2 linked regions of the Canis lupus familiaris genome follow. The protein of the gene in region 2 purifies or fractionates together with the protein of the main gene of each other region. This does not show direct contact. Links are inferred from orthologs where the notes say so. Each region holds a gene or a part of one and is shown on either strand. Other genes may lie near its edges. The genes, in order: NPTN and ATP2B4.

Region 1 (10,945 bases), on a different chromosome or scaffold from region 2:
AGCAAGTGTATGCATACCAGAAAATGTTCTGTGACACACCAGGGAGAGCTGGATAGTGGGGACATCCCTCTAGAAAAGACTTCAGACAGAAAGACGGGCTCAACTCTTGAGCCCTGGCCAAAACCAGAACCCCAATCCAGATGAGCCATGAGATTTTTTTTTTTTAAACCAAAAAGCTGACATTATCTGAGCTTAGAAGCCTTCTTAAATTGGTATTTCACGATTCTGATTTGTAGGTTTTTCTTTCCTGTTTTGACTAAGGGCAACTTGGTTCCCTTTGGGCAGGTCTATACGTACATGGAATGTTTTTTTAAAGAGGCCCACAAAGGGGAGGGAACAAGTAAGTGCTCTTAGTTTCTATTTTACGAAAGTCAGGTAGACTAAATGATTCAGAACAGTTTGGTTTCACTGAAGGCTTCTAGAAAACCTCTCAGCAGGATTCCACAAGGGGGCTTGGTGCACATGAAGCAGTTATGGAGGTCACAGTCTCAGTGTAGGCATCTGCAGGAGCACACGTCAGGAGTAATGTCTGTCACAGGGAGACATTGCTCCACCTGTTCCTTCGAGGCAACGGAGAGGCAAAGCCACCGCCAGCACACACAGTGACTGGAGCAAAAAAAGATTCAAAAAAAAAAAACAAAAACAAAAACAAAAAAAAAAACTAACCACAAACCAATGACTTATCAGCCAAAACAATAGGCTAGCGACACACCAGTGTCCACAGGATTCTGCTACTAACAACAGTACACTATCAAACAGGTACAGAGAACAAACCAAGACTCAAGGACACCCGAGACATCTGTGTGCTGTGAATGCAGTGGGGATCGTACAGACACACCAAGACCGAGACACACAAGCCCTGCTTCACTCTGTCCTCACCACATCGCCCGAGGCCCTCAGCATCCAGGCCAAGCCAGCTCAGCTACATGCTAGGAACTAAGCACTTCGGGGACTTAAAGACCCAGGAGCAGACTCCGCAGAGTTTCAGTGCTCTGGCTGTGCACCGGGAAACAAAATTCTAAAGCAAGATCACCAACCTACTCCCAACAGGAAAGGAAAAAGCAGGAGGGGGGAGTCGCGAGAGCCAAGCTAATCTTCTCAAAGCATCACGCGGTCCCAACCGACCCAAGCACTTTACACGCAAGCTTTTCTTCCTTTTGGTGGTGGGGGGGACAGGCCCTGCTGTCTGCCCAGTGACGTCACTTTCCAGCCCAACAAGCCGGTAACGTGCAAAGGGCTGCATGTAGGGGTTTTAGCAACAGTGGCTCTGGTGCAGCTGCCATGCCTGCAAGTGGGAGCAGGTGCTGGTCACACTAGTGTCTAAAGTCACTTCAGCTCTCTCCCCAAATCCAAGGAACCAAGAGAAGAGCCTCGTGTCTCCTACTGTCCTGGACTGAGTCACTATCTGCGGCACCACTCTCCCTTTACAGGTCAGACAAAAAAATACAACCTGACCCTAACAAGGAAATCAGGAGAGAGGGAAAGAACAGAACTACAGAAAAAAAGGTACGAAAATTAAAAAGTAAATGAGGATTAAACAGCAAACTGAAATCCAAATTAGTCGTGAAAGTGAATGAAGTAAACTTGAAGAAAAGTGTTAACATATGAACTGTGCATCGTATAGACTGAAGCGGAGATTAAACAAACTCCAAAAGCATGCATATCGCTCACTTACCACCATGTTTTAAGGGTTTGATGCAATTGAGGGGGGAAAAAAAAGAAGTCATAGTAACCGACAAATATCAACATACCCCCAAACCCTCAGGACAAAAGATAGCGGCTTAAACAGTGGCTCTCCTCTTCGCCTGGGGGTTACTCCCAGCCACTGGCTAGACGAGAGAAGAGGACTGGGGAGAAGGGAAACAAGATGCTTCTGGAATCCATCTTAGGAGAGTGAGGTTCCTGGTGGAACTGACCTCTTCCCAACCAGATGCGCTACGGCCTTCGCTCCCCTACATCCCACTGCCTCCTCACCCGGAAGGGCGCCCTGCGAAGCCCAGGAAACCACGCGGTCCCCGTGCGGGAGCACCTCCAAAAAGATGGCTTTCTAGTCAGAGTGACCAAGGGTTGACTGTGTGGTCAGAGCTCCTTTTTCACTGCCTCCATCTCACCGAGGACTATGTTTTCTAGTTTCTAAACCTGCTTCAATTTTGCCTGATCTCAGCAGAGTCGCATTAAACCAGAGAGAGATTAATGGTTACATCCAGTTGCCTTTCATTTTTGGTCCCACTGTATTTTCTCCGTAAGGTAAGTTGTCACTGACTCAGATGACCCCTAGGTTAGGAGACAATGACAGGCATGTTTTGCATGTTAATTTTAAAAGTCACATTTCTTGGGACACCTGGGTGGCTCAGTAGTTGAGTGTTTGCCTTCGGCCCAGGGCATGATCCTGGAGCCCCAGGATTGAGTCCCGCATCGGGCTCCCCATGTGGAGCCCGCTTCTCCCTCTGCCTGTGTCTCTGCCTCTCTCTTTCATGAATAAATAAATAAATAATCTTAAAAAAAAAAAAAAAAAAGTCACATTTCTTTTCCAGCACTCCTAGCCGGCTGATAAGCTTCATATGCTCCCAACTAATACACTTTGTGAACATTAGAGTAACTCTTATTTGTAGAGTGTCTAAAAGAGTTTGAATGTATCAGAGACACTAAAAATGGTCCCCCTAAAACCTCAGCTATCTTCTCCACCAGTAACTTGAGAAGTCCCTTTGAATTGCATATAAAAATTACCCCCCTAATGTGAAAACAGAAACTCTTTTTGATGCCACCACTTTTCTTAAATCAGGTCCTGTTGTTTTCATCTGAGGTCACTAAAATGTCCAGTAGAATCGAAGGCCCCAACAATGAGGCCAGTAGGGAAGGCCCCATCTCCCAGATGACTGGGGAGGACAGACCCGAAGCACACATGAATCCCTCTCTGGGTTCAGTCAGCAGAGAACCAACAAAGGAGGAAGGTGTGCTCCAATCATGTAAAGCCGTAAGATGGATGGAAGGCTAGGGGGATGCTGACTGGACCTAGTCTTTTTAGAAAAGAATTATCATTTAACATTTTCAGAGAATGTAGTCAAGAGCGAAGGTGAAAAAAAGTCTTTGATTTGACTCTGACTCATCTGTTACTGAAAACACTGAAGGTAAAAGGTGACATGCAGATAATCTACCTATAAGACAACCCATTGGGCACTGATCCTCAGTGAGACCACAGTAGTGCCTTAATGGGACTTAGTGTGAGTTTTGCTTATAAAATGTCCTGAGTAGACTCTAGTAAACTAAGAGAAAGAACTCTTTTGTTTTTTCTCCTGGAAGCCACTAAACCTTAACCCTAAGCATTTTCTATGTGAGAAATTTAAAGCAATATTTGCTTTTCTGGTGAAGCATACTCAGACTAAACTCACTAAGTTCAAATTTGTGCATGTGTATAGTTTTAAATTGTTTAAATTGTTCACTTAGTAACAATTTAAAGAGGTGAGGGGCTGAGTCACCAAGAGCTCACAGACTGCCCAAATAGGAATACTATGAGTTTTACATGAAACAGTTTCATATAAGAAAAAATTCAGTGAGTCAGAAATAAATCATAAGTCTATCCTGATAATAAAGTACCTATTTTGGCAGAGAAAACATGTCAGGCACATTAAAAAAAAAAAAAAAAAAAAAAAACACCATTTTCACAATGGCATAAATAAGTCAACAGTACCACAGATGGTTATCTGATAAAAATCCATCACCTCTAAAACTCCAATTTGTATCAGATCTAAGGTACCTCTTCATTCATCCCACAAAGGAGTGCATACCTCTATCTACATGTAGCCTCGGGGAGGGGTATGAGGGCAGAAAGCATGAGGGGGCTGGTCTTACATGGACTGTAGAGCGGTTGAGGGGAAACTGGCTGGGAAAAAAAGCCACGGCATAAGGAAAACTCACTGAGGAACAATCAGCTTTTTTTTTTCTTTAATGATTAAATCCAAGGGGACAATAAATAAAGGGGGCACAGGAGTAGGAAGCGGTGAGAGGAGGAGGGAGACAAAAAAGAAAACGGGGGCAGAAATGCTGGAGCAAGGCAGGGGTGTGGAGATGGAGAATGGAGCCTGGAGCACGCTGGCTGTCGGGAAGGGAGCGGAGAGGAGGCGAACACTGCGATAATCCCAGCGTCCCAGGTCTGTCGCCCCAATTCAACAACAGAAAAGTAAATGCTGCTTACATTCCAGTTCTTCCAAGAGACCAGAGCAAGGAGATTTTACTTTGCACTTACCCACATCTTTTATGTAGGATTCATCCGCTTCTATAAAAATTTCACTTAAAAGAGGTACCTTCCCTTCGGGAAGCCATTCAGAAGACTTGCTGACCACACAGGTCTCTACTACCTAACTGGCGGCCCCTGGAGTTCGAGAGCCATGGAGTTCTCGCTCTCTCTTAAAAAACAAGAGCTGCTTCCTCGGGCAGGTGTCTGCACTTGTCAGATCCAATACCAACCACCTCTGAAACCTAACCCGAATGTCTCCACACGTAAGAGAACAAAGCAGCTGCCTACGAGGAAGACTGGAACCTCTGAGGGGAACATGCTAAGCCAAAGGGTCACTCTGCCAAGGGAGTGGCAGCAGCCTCATCTTATGATAAAAAATCAGGTTCAAAAGCCCGTCTTTGCCTTTTCTTCCCTTTTTGCTTCTCTACCTTTCCAAAGGGAAGGCTGAGCAAGGTGTTCAGCAAAACCAACGCATTCTGAAGGGATGACAAGTCCCTGCAGAACGGGACAGCCGCTCCTGGAGAGCCAGAGGGAAATGCACACCACCTCCCTTTACTCGCAGGCCGACAGCTAAGAATTCTGCCTTGGGATCCTAATTTGTAGCAGGAAAGAGAAAAACTAGAGGGAAAAGCATTCTGCATGTGAGGATCCGAGAACGCCCTTCACCTCACAGAACAGCAGTCCTGGGGCCCCACGAGGAGGCACGTAAGGTCCCGGAGGCACACCAGCTCGTGCAGGGAGCAGGCCCGCTGGCTTCCAGCGGACGTCCCCTCGCCCGTCCCCTCGCCCCTCCGCTGGAGCACTGCGGATGACGTGCGGATGACGTGCGCGGGCAGGGGCGACCCGGGCTTCCCAGGCGCCTTGCTAGTTTCAACAGACGTCACCGCCGGCCTCACTGTAATGCTCTCTTCCACCTCAGGCAGGCAGAGAGATTCTGGAGGCGCTGAGAAGAGAGGACGTAACGGGAAGAGGCATTGCCCTCAAACACGGCCTTCCAGAGAGGCTGAAGCCACCAGCAAGGCTGCACGCCCTCCGAGGGAGCACCGGACCTCCCTCAGGAATGCTCCACGGACACACCTGATGGGGGCTGCAGTCCTGCTGGTCAGCTACTCTGCGGGCAGGGCACAGAACCCACAGCGCACAAGCGTAGGCCCAGGGCGGTCGCGCCACAGTTGGCATCCTCACCGTCACCTGAGGCCAGCCTCCACTGGACTTAGGCGCACAGAGCGACAAGCAAGTGGTGGTAATCGCAGGCTGGCTATTAACTTGATGGCAATGTCACCGGGTGGAAGGGGCGGAGCTAGTCAGGAAGCTCAAAGTACTACTGACACGAGTCTCCAGCAGCAGCTGCCCCCGACTGTAATCCTGGGGTTAGAAATGGTGTATGACCCAAAACCCCCCCAAAGCAAAACACCCGCCACAAAGATTTCCTAGGGCTTTCCTGACTGAAACATGTCCAAAAATCTAAGATTCTTGTTCTTTCCCACACTTGTTTTCACTGTAGTCCTGGTGTCCCTATCCAGTTCCACCTCTGGCCCTAAGTCAGCCTGAGGGTGCCACTCGGGCCACAGGCTCCAGGTGTTACTGCTGAGCTGTCTTGGTCTTCAAACTAGAGGTGATGGATGCATCAGACTCCACCATTCTTGTGGGACAGAAAAGCCAAATGCTTGGTGCCTGTTTCACCCAGAACCTTGAAAACCCATCACAGGGACCAACCAAGGGAACCAAAGGCTGGCTTGCTCCAATGGCTCTTCTCGAGAATGGTCTGAAGGGGTTGGGGCAGTAACCTACAAGGGCTCTACCCGGCAACCATGTGACAACCAATTAGATACCTTAAATCTGCCTGCAAGGCCAGGTGGCCTGCGATCTTGGGGTGGCTTCTAGGCTTGACCTGGATTCTCCTCAAGCTCAATCTGCCTGATGATCTGTATCGAAGGAGGACAGAGCTGAACCAAGAGACTGGTGGCTGCCTATTCCCCATGTGGGGGCTGAAGGGCAGAAGGGACCGGGGCTTGGAAAACACCCAAATGGAGGGACCGAGCTGAGGATAGCTCTAGATGGCTGATCTTAGCAGTAGGAAACGAGAAACCAGTATGAGAATTCTCTTCTCCTTTTGGGATCAAACCCCAACACTCTCAGAGTCCTTTTTGGGCACTTGGAGACCATCCCTAGGAACCAACCCCCACATTACAGCTATTTTGTAGGGATGCTCTTACCGTCAGGAACTTCATCCGGCCTCTTCCTCTTCTCATACACAACAATGATCACCACAAGGATAATGATTTCAGCCAGAATTCCCAAAAAAGGCCAGAGTGGGGCCAGGTGGCTCCGTACCCTGAGGATGGTGACAACGGAGGCAGAGCCAATAGAGTTGGTAGCATTACATTCATACTCGCCAGGGTCTTCTGTGATCTGGAGATTCACGATGCTCAGCTCAGTATAATTTTCCTTGTTGATGATGAAGAAACGGCCGGAGGTATTGACAATGTCCTGCTCGGGGGCAGAAAAAGTAAGAACACACAAAGGTCAGAGTAGGTGAATCCGTGTGCAAGACAAGGTAAGGTCCTAGCAGGACCACTGGCTGGGATGAGGGAGCAGTGTCTAGGACCATCTTTGTCCAGGGAACTTGTGAGCACTTCATTACCGGCTTCCTTTCAATAACAACAACAACACATCAGCAAGCTTCTGGCAGAGCCAGGTTAAAGCCTCCCCTGCCGTGTCCTCTAGACTTCTCCAACTTCTATGAAGTGAATGGAAGTCCTACCCTGTAGCCTCAGAAAAGACCAACTCAATCTAGAAAATGCTACTTCAAATACAAGGGAAGAAACCATCACAGGAAGAAGATGGAGAAGGAGGGGTGTGACCTCCGCAGTCAGACATATATGCTAATCTCAGGCCTATCTGAGGACTTCAGAATTAGCACATCTATTTCACACTTGGTGAGTCCTGACAAGTCGTCTTAAACCTCCTCCAGAAAGAATGCTAAGAACTTGCTCCTAGTCAGAGTAGACAAATTCCTAACTTCTCTTTCTTAAGAATCAGAAGGATTAAAAAAAAAAAAAAAAAGAATCAGAAGGATAAAGTAAAGTTTATTCAGTCAATCAATAGCTATTTACTAACGTATGCTACGTGTCTCACATCCCACTAAGGGGAAGGGGAGACAGAAAGGGAAAAGTATGACACAAAAGTGAACAAGGAGGTTGGCCTTAAGAGGGAACCAGACCTCCAAAGGGATGGTTACAGGAACACGGCAAGAAGCCCCAAGAGACGGCACGTACTGAGTACTGTGCGGCACAGAGGGAGTGGCCAGTGCCAGAAAGACTCAGGGAAAGCTTCACAGAAAAGCCAGCTTTTGCCCTGGGTGGTGGGGAAGAGAGGTGATCAAGCAGGACAGGAGTGCTCCAGGCTCTTGTGGGAAGACAGAGGGGAGAGTACACAAGCAGGGGTTGAGGTGGAGCTGGGACAAGCGTACAGCACTGGGGTAGTGGCAGGCAAAAATGGAATCATGTGTCAGTTGTTAGGCAACAGCTAAAGCATAATCAGAAATAGGGAAGAAAGGGGAAGATAATGACGTTTAACTATAGCAAACAGTGGTGCCTGCAACTGAGTGTGGGTATGGCTGAAATGGCAAATCAAGCCTTCAAAATAAATTATTCCCTGAAGCTTCAACTCGAGGACTTAGAAAGCTGCCAGCTTCTCTAACCCCTGCTCTACTGGTTCACTAAGCCCATGTTTTTCACTTATGATCAGAAGGGATTAGTTTTTTTTGTTCCACAAGCCTTTAACCTGTAGTTTTTGAACACCATCATATGCAAGAAACCTTAACCTTTTTAATCAATGCATAATAAGATAGTGAGTGGGACCTGTCCTATTGCTACAGAATTGATGACTAAGGAGAAGCATCAAAAGTACCCCATAGTCTTGGATGAAAGTACAGCACAGGGAAGAGAGTCCGTAATACTGTAATAACAATGTATGGTAACAGACGGTGACTGCGCTTAATGGTGGTGGCTACTGCATTATGTGCAGAATCGTCCATCGCTACGTTATACACCTGAAACTCCTGTAACATCATATGTCAGCTATACAGTAGTAAAAACTTTTAAATATATATAAATATTTTTAAAGGGTATCTTTTCAAATACCATTAAATTAATTTGTACTTAGGACGTTTTCACATATATTTATAACTAACAGTGACTGATATTTAGGTTTCAGTATGAAAGACTGTGTTATCTTATTCATTACATGATCAAGTCTTCCACAGTGCTGTTCATTTTCCCTCCATCTCATCTGTCAGTCTGCCACCATTTAACTGCTTTTTTGCTATATTTCCGTATTTTTCCAGTTTTTGTTTCATTCATTTTGAAACTGTATTATGTAGCATAAAAAGATCATGACAGCTTTGTCTTTATTGTGGATTACACCTGTTTTTTTTTTTTTTTAAGATTTTATTTATTTATTCATGAGAGACACAGAGAGAAAGGCACAGACACAGGCAGAGGCAGAGGGAGAAGCAGGCTCCATGCAGGGAGCCCGATGTGGGGCTCGATCCCCAGTCTCCCAGATCACGTCCTGGGCCAGTGGGGCTGCCCCTGGATTACACCTCCTGTGATAAAAAGGAACTCTTCTGGTTTCATGTTTATTTGAATTTCACTTTCTGTAATGTTAATATTTCATTTGTTCTATGTTATATACTTTCACCATATACATCTTTGTCCATCATGTTTTAATATTTCTGTACTATTGTTATATGCAGATTATCTTTAAGCAACATTTTGTTATTTTATTTCTCTGCTTTTTAATGAGGATGCTGAAAACTTTGTATTTAGTACCACTGTAATTTTTACATTTATTGTCATAAATTATGTACCCCATTATTCTTTTTAAAAAGTTCAAATAGGCTAGCCTCGGTGGCTCAGCCGTTTAGCGCCGCCTTTGGCCAAGGGCGTGATCCTGGAGACCCGGGATCAAGTCCCACATTGGGCTCCCTGCATGGAGTCTGCTTCTCCCTCTGCCTGTGTCTCTGTGCCTCTCATGAATAAATAAATAAAATCTTTAAAAAATAAAAAAATAAAAAGTTCAAACAAAACTGGGAGTAGATAGCCCTTCCAGGGCTTATTAAAAGGGAGCGCCATCAAGCTATCTTATCCCCAAGTCATCACATTACCCCTTGCCCGTCTATAAAAGAGAAGACAGGCTGATAGGTGATTGGAAAAGAGTTATTTTTATTAAAGGCTCAACTGCCCTAAATTAAAACATTCTTAAAAAAAAAAAAAAAAGCACTTGGCATTGCATGCAGCCTTTCACCCTGCAGCCAAGTGAAACAGGCACCAAAAGAGAATCACTCAAAGACTGGGGGTGCCAAGAACAAACCATCTTTTTCCAGTGGATAGGCAGGAAACCAAATGATGTGCCATATGCCTCTCAATCTTGGAAAAGGGCTGTTTGGAGGTGAGAACGCAGAGACTATATTCCCACTATTTGAAGAGCCATAATGTTCAAGTTTGGTTTCCTCTACCTAACAGGGCTGCCTTCTGAGTGAGCAGACCCCAGCAGTGAAAATAATCTGTGGCTGGAGCTAAGCGGGAAAACAGAGAGGTTCAGTAAAAGTAGATCCCTTGGGGCACCTGGGTGGCTCAGTCCATTAAGTGTCTACACTTGGCTCAGGTCATGATCCTGGTCCTGGGATCGAGCTCTGAGTGGGGCTCCCTGCTCAGCAGGGAGTCTGCTTCTCCCTCTGCCCCTCACCTACTTGTACACTCTCTCTCTTTGGCTTTCTCTTTTGAATAAATAAAATCTTAAAAAAAAAAAAAAATCACCCGGCCAATTAGAAAAGTTTTTTTTTTTTTTTTTTTTTTTAAACATCTTTGGGAGCAGATACTATCGGATTTCCAATGTTCAAGACTGCCCTTGCGCTTTACCATGTTGCCTCAATTCCCAATCAGTACTCCCTGTGTTCCAGGGATGTACTAAATTGTTCTCATTGCCTTGTCTTTCTCCAAAACAAGAAAGGTGTATTAAAACTACTTCAAGGGATCCCTGGGTGGCGCAGCGGTTTGGCGCCTGCCTTTGGCCCAGGGCGCGATCCTGGAGACCCGGGATCGAATCCCACATCGGGCTCCCGGTGCATGGAGCCTGCTTCTCCCTCTGCCTGTGTCTCTGCCTCTCTCTCTCTCTGTGACTATCATAAATAGATTAAAAAAAAAAAACAAAAAAAAAAACAAAAAAAAAAAAACAAAAACAAAACTAAAAAAAAAAAAAAACTACTTCAAGAAAATATTTTCTTTAGGACAAATGGACTAAAATAAAAAAAAAATGTTTAAGATTGGGGTTAAACTCCTTCAGTCTCCTTGAAGGCAAATCAGTCTAATCCCTTAGCAAACAGCCAGCTTTTAACAAATCATGTAGGGATTCCATGCTGGACGGAGACTGTCAGTGACTTCCAGATTTATCATGTAACCATTTATGACTAGAACGGGTGACCCTAAGCCATGCCAGTATGGCAGGATGCAGCAACTGGCAGGTCCAGATGTCTGGACCTCCCAGGAGAAACTCCAGCAACCAGAGACCCAGGGAGAGAATCAGGGCTGCCTCCTACTCACCACGGGCATACCATTCTCCTTCTTGCGCCATATCCACTCTGGGTGTGGGTAGCCAACTGACTTGCAATACATCATGGCATCTTGCCCTTCATTTTTGTTCTCGCTC
Region 2 (10,945 bases):
CCTATTCAAGATGAGAGAGTTGCTTTGGCCCTTGGTTCTTGGCTGTCTGCCCCAGTCTGCTCTCATCTGCTCCAGGCATCTGGTCAGGAGCTGAGCTCACCTTTTACCAGTGTGTGCTTGTCAGTGGGGGATGATCGTGCCAGGACTCGAAGCTTAGGCCAGATCTTGTCCAGCTTCTCTTGCTCCACCTGCCAACACCAGAGCACACCAGGTCAGTCAAGCTCAGAACAGCCATCCAGGGGGAGTTTACTTCTCCCCATACTCCGAGATTCTGGAAGAGCTCACATTCCACAGCCCCTGGGGGGTGTTACCATGGCCTCCAAGGGAGATGAAACAGCTCAGTCTCCAAGGGCAGATTCATTGATGGTGACCATTCAGACCCTGTGTGTCTTCATTTCCCTCCCAATTTCCTACTGGGGAGTCTGTCTCCTGTTTCTTAGACCCTTGGCAGGAGGTGGGCCAGGGTTGGCTGTTGCGTCAGGTGGCTAAAGTGCTCCTAAGGTCTTAGGTTTGGTTTCTATGCAGACCAGGAGGCTCTGGTCTGCTCCACACCCAGACCACATCCTCTTGCAAACCTGTGCCATGGGGCAGTGACACAGGGGGGTGAGGTGGAGGGAAATCAGGATGAAATCATCCCACGACTGAAAAATAAGGAAGACATAAAAAGTCAGTGATGCTGTCTCAAAAGACAGCTTATGAGCGAAGATAATGAGAATAAAGAAACCTCTCAGTTTTGCCACCTGAGCAGCTGCGGTAGAAGGAATAGTTCACTACGAATAGATTTCAGTTTAAAAACCACCCACTTGGGGTCCAACTCCTCACAGCTGCCCCTACTGGTTATATGGGTTGCTGCCTGATTCATGAAATCATTCAATAAAGCCAATTCGATCTTCAAAACACACACACACAAAACAGAACCCAAAAGCAAACAAACAAGAAAAACAAAACCCAGTCGCTTTCTTTCCTGTGTCCTGGATCCGTTACAGGAGAGCTGCCCCCCACCCCGTTGCGAGATGAGGTCTTCCTAGCCAGGACCCACCTCTCCTTTCTCGTTGCGGATAAGTCGGTTGAATTCTTTGCCTTCTAAGCACAGGAAGTCATCCCCAGGTGTCACAATGCCACATTTGGTGGCAATGGCCCGGGCTGTATTGATGTTGTCACCTGTCACCATTCTGACAGTAATGCCAGCTCGTTTGCATTTGGCAATAGCTTCAGGTACCTATGGAGAGTAAGGTGAGAGGAAAGGAGGAGGTGGGGGTGGTGAAGGGTCCCTTCATTGTGGACAGGAGAGAGGCACTTAGGAGCAGTGCCATGTGGCAGAGGCTAGGTCTGGTCATTTTTATATTGTTTGGTGCCACCCGACTTCTGCCCTATTCATAATACTACATTTGAACTTGCCTTACTGTAGCATGAGTTGAAGAGAAAATCTGCTTGAGGAGCCAGGTGTGGAAGTGTACTCTCCCTACAATCTAGACTTCTTAGCAGGGCACATCCATACCTCATTGGGATCTGGCCACCATCTCCCTTTTTAGCATTCTCCACTTCCCTGGCCCATACTCCAACCAATCCATTCTTTATAGTCTCCTATGCCCTTGGGCCTTGACAACTAAAAGTCCACTAGTCTGAACTTATTATAAGCAGAGACCTTTTCAACGCCTTAGTTTCTAGATTACTGTTCAGCTATTCTAGGGGCAGTCAATAAGAATATGTTGATTGAAAGAAGGTGGCTAGAGGCAAAGTTGGTGTCCCAGTTAACTCTGACTGTTCTTAGGTACCCAATAATAAGCTCAATACAACCTATGTTTCTCACCCCTCAGACAGCATTCACTGTCAGAATGCCAGCTTCTATCAGCTCAGCACTCCACAGTGGTTTGGGAAGCAGAAGGCACAGAAACATCTATCCCTGTACATGAGAAGCTGTTGGGTAACGTGCCTGGGGTCACAGCTAAACATGGAACTAGTACCTCCGTTCCCTTCTATGGGGGGACTACCCCCTACATCATGCTCGGCTGGCATGTGGGCCAGAGGCTGTTGGAAGACTTCCATTCATGTTCTCCTACCCTTTTGCCAAGCCAAAGCCTCACCTCTGGGCGCACAGGGTCCTCAATGCCCACCACTGCGATACACGTCAGTTCAGTGAGGATTTCACTCTCATTGTCCCATGGGGGCTCGCCATCATTGAAATCCCGGTAAGCGATGCAGAGAGTTCGGAGTCCCTGAGAGGCCATGGGCTCGATGACAGTGCGGACCATCTCATCGCGGTCCTTATTCTTGAATGGAACCACTTCCCCTCTCTTGTCCAGGATTCGATTACACCTGGGGAGGCACACAGTCAGGAAGCAGCAACCCTTTCCCACCCCAGATGTCTCTACACTCATTTGCAGACATTCTGGCAATCCTGCATTACTCGTAAAGACAGCATTCTTGGGTAAGAAATCTCTGTTCATCATCCAGCCGAGTCCCTTTTCCCAAGGTGGGGTGATTTGTAGATGGATCAGGTCTAGGGAAGCCAAAGGTATGATTCTCCCATGTTGTCTGTTCCTACTCATATGTGAATGTGATGCCAAGAGTCATTTGTGGATTACCCCCTCTTTTGAACTTCTCAAAGGTGGAGAGACATTTTAAATTCCAGGTACGTGAATAGTACTAGAATGGTGCTCAGTGCATAGGGTGTGCTCCACAGGAATGGGTTGGTTGAAAGACGGTGGCTAAAGCCAAATAAAGGCCTGGTTAATTCTATAGCTACTGGCCCTGTACCTATGTCGGTCAGCCTATAATGACCCATGAACAGTCTAGCTACTTGATGAAGTTACTCAACTTCCTATAAGTGGAGTTGAGCATGAGAAGGAAAAAGGAACATAGAACTAACATTTGTTAGTACTTGCTATGTGCCTGGTATTTTACATACAGGCAAACCTTGTTTAATGACACTTTGCTTTATTGCACTTTGCAGGCATTGTTTGTTTATTTATTTATTTATTAACAAATTGAAGGTTTGTGGCGACCCTGAATCGAACGCTAATGACACCAATTTTCTAAAAGCATTTGCTCACTTCATGTCTCTGTGCCACCTTTTGGTAAGTTTTGCAATATTTTAAACTTTTTCATTATTATTGTATTTGTTACGGTGATCTGTGATGCTACTATTGTAATTGTCTGGGGACATTGCGAGTCACATGCATATAAGATGGCAAACTTAATTGATAATGTCATATGTGTTCTGACTGCTCCACTGCCTGGCTCTTTCCCGTTCTCTCCTCCTCTCCCCAGGCCTCCCCTCCCCTGAGAGACAACACTACTGGAGTTATGCCATTAATGCCCCTGCAATAGCCTCTAAGTGCTCAAGTGAAAGGAAGAGTCTCACATGTCTCACTTTAAACCAAAAGCTAGTAATGATTAAGCTTGGTGATGAAGGTGAGTCAAAAGCCAAGAGAGGCTGAAAGCTAGGCCTCTTTGCTCCCAATAGCCAAGCTCTGAATGCAAAGGAAACGTTCTTGAAGGAAATGAAAAGCATTTCTCCCATAAAACCAAACAGCCTTATTGCTGAATGGAGCAAGTTCGAGTGCTCTGGATAGAAGATGAAACCAGCCACAACATTCCCTTCAGCCAAAGCCTAATCCAGAGCAGGTCCCTAACTCTCCACAATCCTAGGAAGGCTGGGGGAGATGAAGACTCTGCAGAAAAAGTTTGAAACAGCAGAGACTGTGTCGTGAGGTTTAAGGAAAGAAGCTGTCTCTATGACATCAGAGTGTAAGGTGGAGCAGCAGGTGCTGATGTAGAAGCTATAGCAAGTGATTCAGAAGGTCTGGCTGGGATCATTAATGAACGTGGCTACACTAAATAACAGATTTTCAGTGTAGATCAAACAGCCTCATACTGGAAGAAGATGGCATCCAGGACTTTGACAGCTGGAGAGAAGTCAGTGCCCGGCTTCAGAGTTCCACAGGAAAGGCTGACTTGCTTGTTAGGGGCTCATGTAGCTGGTGACTTTAAATGGAAGCCAATGCTCATTTATCATTCTGAAAATCCCAGGGCCCTTTAGAATCATGTTGAATCTACTCTGTCTGTGCTCTATAAATGGAACAAGAAAGTCTGGATGACAGCACATCTGTTTATAATATGATTTACTGAATATTTTAAGCCCACCACTGAGAGCTACTGCTCAGAAAAAAGATTCCTTTCAAAATATGACTGCTCGCTGACAATGCACCTGATCACCCAAGAGCTTTGATGGAGCTGTCCAATGAGATTCACATTGTTTTCATGCCTGCTAACACAGCACTCATTCTGCAGCATATGAATCAGGGCGTTAAGACTTCTTATTTAAGAAATACATTTTGGTAAGGCTATAGCTGCCAGAGATAGAGATTCCTCCGATGGATCTGGGCAAAGTCAATTGGAAACCTTCTGGAAAGGACTCACCAGCCTAAATGCCATAAAGAACGTTCATGATTTATGGGAAGGGGCCAAAATAGCAACACTAATAGCAGTTTGGAAGAAGTTGATTCCAACCCTCATGGATGACTCTGACCCTCACCGTTCAGGACTTCAGGTGAGGCAGTAAGTGCAGGGAGGGTGGAAGCAGTGAGAGAACTACAGTTAGCAGCGTAGCCTGAAGATGGGACTGAATGGCTGCGATCTCATGATAAAACTTGAACAGATGAGGTGTTGCTTCTTGCAGATGAGCAAAGAAAATGATTTCTTGAGATGGAAACTACTCGATGAAGATGCTGTGAAGACTGTTGAAATGACAAGAGAGGATTTAGAATAGTACATAAACTTAGTTGATAAAGCAGCAGCAGGGTTTGAGGGGAAATGACTCCAATTTTGAAAGAAGTTTCACTGTGGGTAAAATGCTATCAAACGGCATCTCATGCTACGGAGAAATCATTCACGGAAAGAGTCAAACGATGCGGCATACTTCATTGTCCTGTTTTAAGAAACTGCCATAACTGCCTCAGCCTTCAGCACCCACTGCCCCAATCAACCAGCAGCCACTTACATCAAGGCAGACCCTCTACCAGCAAAAAGGTCTGATGATCGTTAAAGCTCAGGTGATGGTGACTATTTTCTTGGCAATAAAATATTTCTAAAGTAAGGTATGTACATTGTATTTTTATACAAAATGCTGTTGCACACTTAATAGACTACAGCCTAGTATAGCTATGAGGTTTATATGCACTGCGGAACAAAAAAAGACTCATCTGCTCCACTTCATTGGGGCAGTCTAGAACTGAACTCACAACAGCCCTGAGGTGCACCAACGTGCGACGAATCACCTAATCATAGTAACCCCGAGGGTATTCCTTGGGTTTCAGATTAGAAGATGGAAGCTTGGATTGTCAAGTTCTGAATCCTGGCTGCACCACTATGAGCTGTATCACCTTGAGCAAGTACTTCACTTCTCGTACGTCTGTTTTCTCATCTGTAGAACAGGTGTGCTAATAGCATCTACTGCACTGGGTTGTGCAGATTAAGTAGAATGGGCCCCCCGAGGCACTCAAAAGCAAGCCTCAGCCTGATTCAATGCTCAGATATTAGTGATGATGTCACCCACCGGAAAGGGGGCTCACTGACCCTTTGGATGGGTTTAGCACGGTGCATGTCACCCAGACCTTCCCACGGGGAGGACCGGGAAGGGAAGAGAAGTGGGGGAAGGGAGGCTCACTTGCGCAAGATGATCTCAGAGGCGCCCTTGCTGTACATGCGGTAGCCCCCGCTGGGCTTCTCGATGACTGTGCTCATTGACTTGCGCACAGAGTTGAAAGTGTACACCTTGTAGAGCTTCTCCTCGGGCACCTCGTTGCGCACGGCATGGTAATCCTGCTTCAGGTCAGTGACGAAGCCCAGGAGAGCACACTCGGTCTTGTTGCCCACCTGCCGCGGGAGACCTCCCTCCTTCTCTGGAGGCTGAGAGAAAAATTGTATGTGCTGTTGAGTACCATGCTTCTACTAGGGAGAACTTGGGAGGAAAGAACACCCCTACAAAATGTTCACATATGTCCCCGGCGCCCATGTGGGGATAGCATTTATCTCTTTCCCAAGGGTAAGCAGATAGTGGTCAGTGGTGACTGTGATTCCTAAGCCATCCAGGGCTTAGGGATGTTCTAGTTTGCCCTGGGGATGGTGCTGGTATCTCACCCCATGTGGGTCTCATTTGAATACCGTCCCTTAGTTTCTAGAAAGTATGGAATTTATTCCTGATAAACCCATCTCTCCTAGGGATACTGCCATCATATGGTGATTGGTGGGCATTTCATAGATCTGGATTTCTACCTGCCTCCCTATCCCCCACTCTGCTCCCATGAATCAATCCCCAGTCATCCCAAACATGTTCACCGAGGAGTAGGACATGGGATGTGCAGTGGCAATTCAGGCAGGATAAACAAGAGAACATTTCTCTGTCCAGAGAAAAGGAATTGTCCCCTCCAACCACCCATTCTAAGTGTCTAGGCAAAGGAGGAGCTTACCAGAATCTTGGAGGTATAGGCACTGTTGATAGAAATACCATTGACAATAAGGTCCAGGACCTTGGGCACAAGGACATCAGGGCTTGGGAGTTGATGGTAATGAGTGTCTCCAATATATGCCTGTACCACAGTCATGCGGTTCATGGTCAACGTGCCGGTCTTATCAGAGCAGATGGCTGTGGCATTGCCCATTGTCTCACAAGCATCCAGGTGCCGCACCAAGTTATTGTCTTTCATCATTTTCTACAAAGGAGATGAGGATAGACTTGAGGGGGGACCGACTGAGCTCTGCCAAATATATGTCAAAGGCCATTTTTTGCCAACATGTCTCCGCATCTCATCCTCTTGTCTGCACAAAAATGCAGGGTACTATTTTTGTGAATCGTCCTCAGATTCTACTGGGTTACCTAAACCTTGATGCAACGGATCAAGATGGTCCTTTTCATCTCCAAGGATGCCAATGGCTTCTGCTCTTGTGAGGCGCCACTCAATCTGTGCAGATCGTATGGCCTATCCTTTCACTGAAGGCTATGTGGCACCCTCCCCTCCCATCTCAGTCCTAAAAGAAGAGACAGCACTATTCCAGTCTCACCTTCACAGAGTAGGCCAGTGAGATGGTGACAGCCAGTGGCAGCCCCTCTGGCACAGCCACCACTAGCACAGTGATGCCAATGATGAAGAACTTGACAAAGTACTGGATGTAGATGGGGGTGCACTCCGATAGCCACGGTCTGCGGTGTATCACAAAGTTGTCAATCACAAAGTACAGGATCAGGATGAGAACTGTGATGGCAGACATGATGAGACCTGTCCAGGAAACACATCACATGAGCCCAGGCTCAAAGGCCTCCCTGGGGCCCTGGCCAGAAGGGGGCTGGCATAAAGTGTAGCCTTTGCTACCAATGTTTATTTCTTTATTTATTTTATTTTTATTTATTTTATTATTATTTTTGCTACCAATGTTTAAAACCACCATCTCCAGTCACCCCCAAATCCCCCACCCATTCTCTCTTGCTTGTACATTATCATGTAAGGGAAAAAAAATGCTGGCTTCATCTTCTATGGACACAGGTTCCAGTTTCTGTACTGCACTAACTTGACTCGTGGCTTTGGACTAGTCTTGGTTTCTCTCTGGACCTGTTTCCTCATTCATAAATAAGGAGTTGGTCTAGTTTTCTAAAATAGAAATTTTGTGATTCTCAGACCTACCCTCTTGTCACAATTCAGAATGTAGTGACTGTATTTGCCTATTTCCTAGTAGTTTATCAATTTGGGCTTCTCCCCTAGCAGATGGGAACTGTTGGGTTCCCAATTTACGACTTGTTTACAGTGATACCGCTATGGTGTCAGCCCATCACCTACATGGCTAACCTTTAGCACGGTGCTTCCTGACCTTTCTCTTTACATGGCATAGGCAGAGAATGACAATAATTTACATGTTTACAATAAGCAAAGATGTCTATAGTTACTATATAGGCCAGGCAAGCACTTCACATATAATAACTGATTTAATTCTCACAAAAACCCTGTGAGATAAGTTAGTATTATCATCCCCTTTCATGAGTAGATTGAGGCACAGAGAGTTTTTTAAAGAAGATCAAAACACAATTAGGATTTAAAAATTTTTAATCTTATTTCTTTTCATCATGGTAAGTGTATTCTTTTTTAAAAAAATTTATTTATTTAATTATTTATTTGACAGAGAGCCAGAGACAGCCAGAGAGTGGGGGGAAGCAGCAGGCAGAGGGAGTGGGAGAAGCAGGCTCCCCCTGAGCAGGGAGCCTGATGCAGGGCTTGATCCCAGGACCCTGGGATCATGACCTGGGCTGAAGGCAGACACCTAACTGACTGAGCCACCCAGGCACCCTAATAAGTGTATTCTTTAATCTCCATCACCTATTTCACCCATCCCTATACCCACCTCCCCCCACAGAGGGATTTTTGGAAAACCAGGGTACCAACTATTCTGGTTTGCCTGAGACTGAGCAGCTTCTTGGGACTCTCAGCGGTAAAATCAAGAGCGCCCCAAGCGAGCTGGGACAAGTTGGTCGTCCTACACACTGATGCAAATGGAAGAAGTTTTTCAAGGTCAGAAAGCAACTGGCTTAGGGGTTCCAACTGCCCTGGGTGCTGCCTGGCCACCCTGAAGGCTGAGGGGATCAATGTCTGGGCAACTGTACCAGATTATCTGGGGCATAATATCTGGGAAGAGCTTTGCTTCAAACCATAGTCTGGTTTGGGTCTTTGCTTTTCCTGAGGGCCTAATGATTCAAAAGAATCAGAGCAAGGCCAGAGGTGATTATATCAGTAAAAGCATATTCTTCTGAATTTTGCTTCATCAGGGTCAGGGCTGAGGTCAGGCAAACAAAGTGCCTAGTGTCCGAAATTTAAAGAAGCACTCCCCCCCGACGGTGGTACAACGCACCCTACTTGCCTCACCCCCAACTGGCCTAGCTTGAAACGTAAACCAAAACGAGAGGAGACCAGGGGCCAGCCATCAGGTAGCTTGTACTCCCTAAAGCAGGGATTGGAGGACGACAGGAGGGGGGTGGGTGGGGTCTATTCAATGTTTCACACCTGTGTGCCAGGCTTAGCCACTTGATTCCACACCTGCAGTTCATGTCCCCCGTGTACCCTTGATATGCCAGAGATTTCATGGTGGTCACCGTAAGCGAGGTACTAGAACTGAATGAACATGCTAGACTAATGCTGTCCATCGGAACTCTCTGTGATGCTTCAAACATCCTCAGTTTGCTCTGTCCAATAAGGAAGCTGCTAGCTACGCGTGGTTATGGACCAGCTCAAACAAGGCTGATGTCACTGGGGAGCTGAATGTTTCCTTGTATTTAATCGTAATTCATTTAAGGGGAAACAGCCACACATGGTTAGTGGCTACCGTAATGCCTTTTTACAGATCCTTGTCACCCGGTGTGTGGTTCATGGATCAGTGGCACTGGCGTCGCTTGGAGGCTAGTTAGAAATGCAGCACCTTGGGCCCCACCCTGGACCTCCTCAATCAGAATCTGTACTTTAACAAGATCCCAGGTGAACTGTCTGCACAGAATGTACCAGACTAGACTGATGGCAGTCAGCGGAGGGGCTGGCCCAGAAGAAAATTAAACAGTGGTACCAGGTGGCCCCTTGGAAGAAATGTCCAGGGAAGGAGCAATCTTCCTTTTGTTTCTTCCTCCAACCCCTGTTCCTAGCACCCCCAAGAGAGGAGAATGTAGAGGCAGGGGCCGGAGAAGCCACTTCCCCTCACCATACACAAGAGTGCCGTTAGCAACCCCTCCTCTGGAAAAAGCCTCTCTAAAGCATGATCTTCCTGTTTCTTCTAGTCCTTATTTTGAATGTACTGTGCTGTGCCAGCTAGGTGCTAGCGCCATGCTAGGGAATTACTGCTGGCAAACGGGAGCCTTCTCTACCCTTATGGAGCTTACGAGCCAATACAGGAAACAGGTGAGCGGTCGTCCAAGTCTTCCTTCTTGCTAAGGTGAATCTCCCCTGGGTGACAGTTCTTTATTACCCTTCTGTTTGGAGGGAAGGGGCCGTGGGGTCTTTAACCCTGGCACACAGGGGCACACTTCTCTCTGAAAAGACCCAGGGAGTGGCCAGAGGGTGGCAGAGAGAGGGGCATGGTCACCTCGGCTGCACCAGCCCCCTGGGAAGGTTCAGCTCTTTTCGCCAGCCCAGCTGGGACAGAAGGCAGGCAGCCAAAGCGGCGAGGACCCAGCAGAGTAGCATGGATAGCAAGAGGCACTGCCCTACTCACCGGCTTTCCCAATCTGAACGGCCAAGCGTGTCAGCTTGCCCTGCAGCACCGACTTCTCCTTTTTGGGCAGCTTGGCCGCCTTTTTCTCCTTTTCCTCATTGTCGATCCCCTCCTGGCTGTTGAGTGGCTGGATTTCCAGGGCCACTCCATCCTGAGTCTTTGCTAGGGTGTGCACACAAATAGGACAGGTGAGTGGGCAAGGGGGTATCACTGAGTAGCAGGCATGTGAGGACCCAAACTCTTCTGTCTCCTTCCTGGAATCCACCTGGGACCCCCAGCATCAGCTCCAACCACTCTCACCCCTGCCAGGCAAGGAGCATGCCTTCCACCCTCTACTAGGGCCTTTACAATGATATTCTGACAACTAGGGATGAAACGGGAGTACTTTTAGGTTATGGATTTCCTCTTCGGTGGCAGCTTCCTGGCACCACCTCAGAGCCCCAAGCCAGGTTTATTCCAGCAAGAGGATTAGTCATGCCACTAAGTGCTATTACCAACAGCCATCCTTCCTGGAATTCAGTGCTTAAAATAGTGAATCTTTGCTGCAGAAAGGGGCTGATGGGGAAGGCTGGTAGATGTTTCCAGAGCATAAGCATCCTAGTCTGCTGTTAAAAAGTTCATCTCTCTCTCCCTATAGACTGTCAGGGAAGAAACAGTCCCCCAAACAGTATTTTTCAGTTCCTCCTTTTATATCAGTTCAACG

What was found.
Region 1: the proteins of ATP2B4 (region 2) and NPTN purify together in Homo sapiens (co-immunoprecipitation; 3 studies listed by BioGRID and IntAct, with this or other methods). This does not show direct contact. The link is inferred for Canis lupus familiaris from reciprocal best matches to the Homo sapiens genes ATP2B4 and NPTN.

What each region holds. Positions count from the first base shown.
Region 1 is NC_049251.1:37,291,149-37,302,093, forward strand, and holds part of NPTN (neuroplastin), read right to left. Parts: coding exon 10,840-10,945; intron 6,725-10,839; coding exon 6,451-6,724; intron 6,160-6,450; coding exon of another isoform or gene 6,143-6,159; exon of another isoform or gene 3,926-6,142; intron 1-3,925. UniProt on the Homo sapiens protein: Probable homophilic and heterophilic cell adhesion molecule involved in long term potentiation at hippocampal excitatory synapses through activation of p38MAPK. May also regulate neurite outgrowth by activating the FGFR1 signaling pathway.
Region 2 is NC_049259.1:981,246-992,190, reverse strand, and holds part of ATP2B4 (plasma membrane calcium-transporting ATPase 4), read right to left. Parts: intron 10,405-10,945; coding exon 10,243-10,404; intron 9,930-10,242; exon of another isoform or gene 9,702-9,929; intron 7,278-9,701; coding exon 7,063-7,277; intron 6,714-7,062; coding exon 6,471-6,713; intron 5,911-6,470; coding exon 5,669-5,910; intron 2,317-5,668; coding exon 2,085-2,316; intron 1,220-2,084; coding exon 1,040-1,219; intron 189-1,039; coding exon 101-188; intron 1-100. UniProt on the Homo sapiens protein: Calcium/calmodulin-regulated and magnesium-dependent enzyme that catalyzes the hydrolysis of ATP coupled with the transport of calcium out of the cell. By regulating sperm cell calcium homeostasis, may play a role in sperm motility.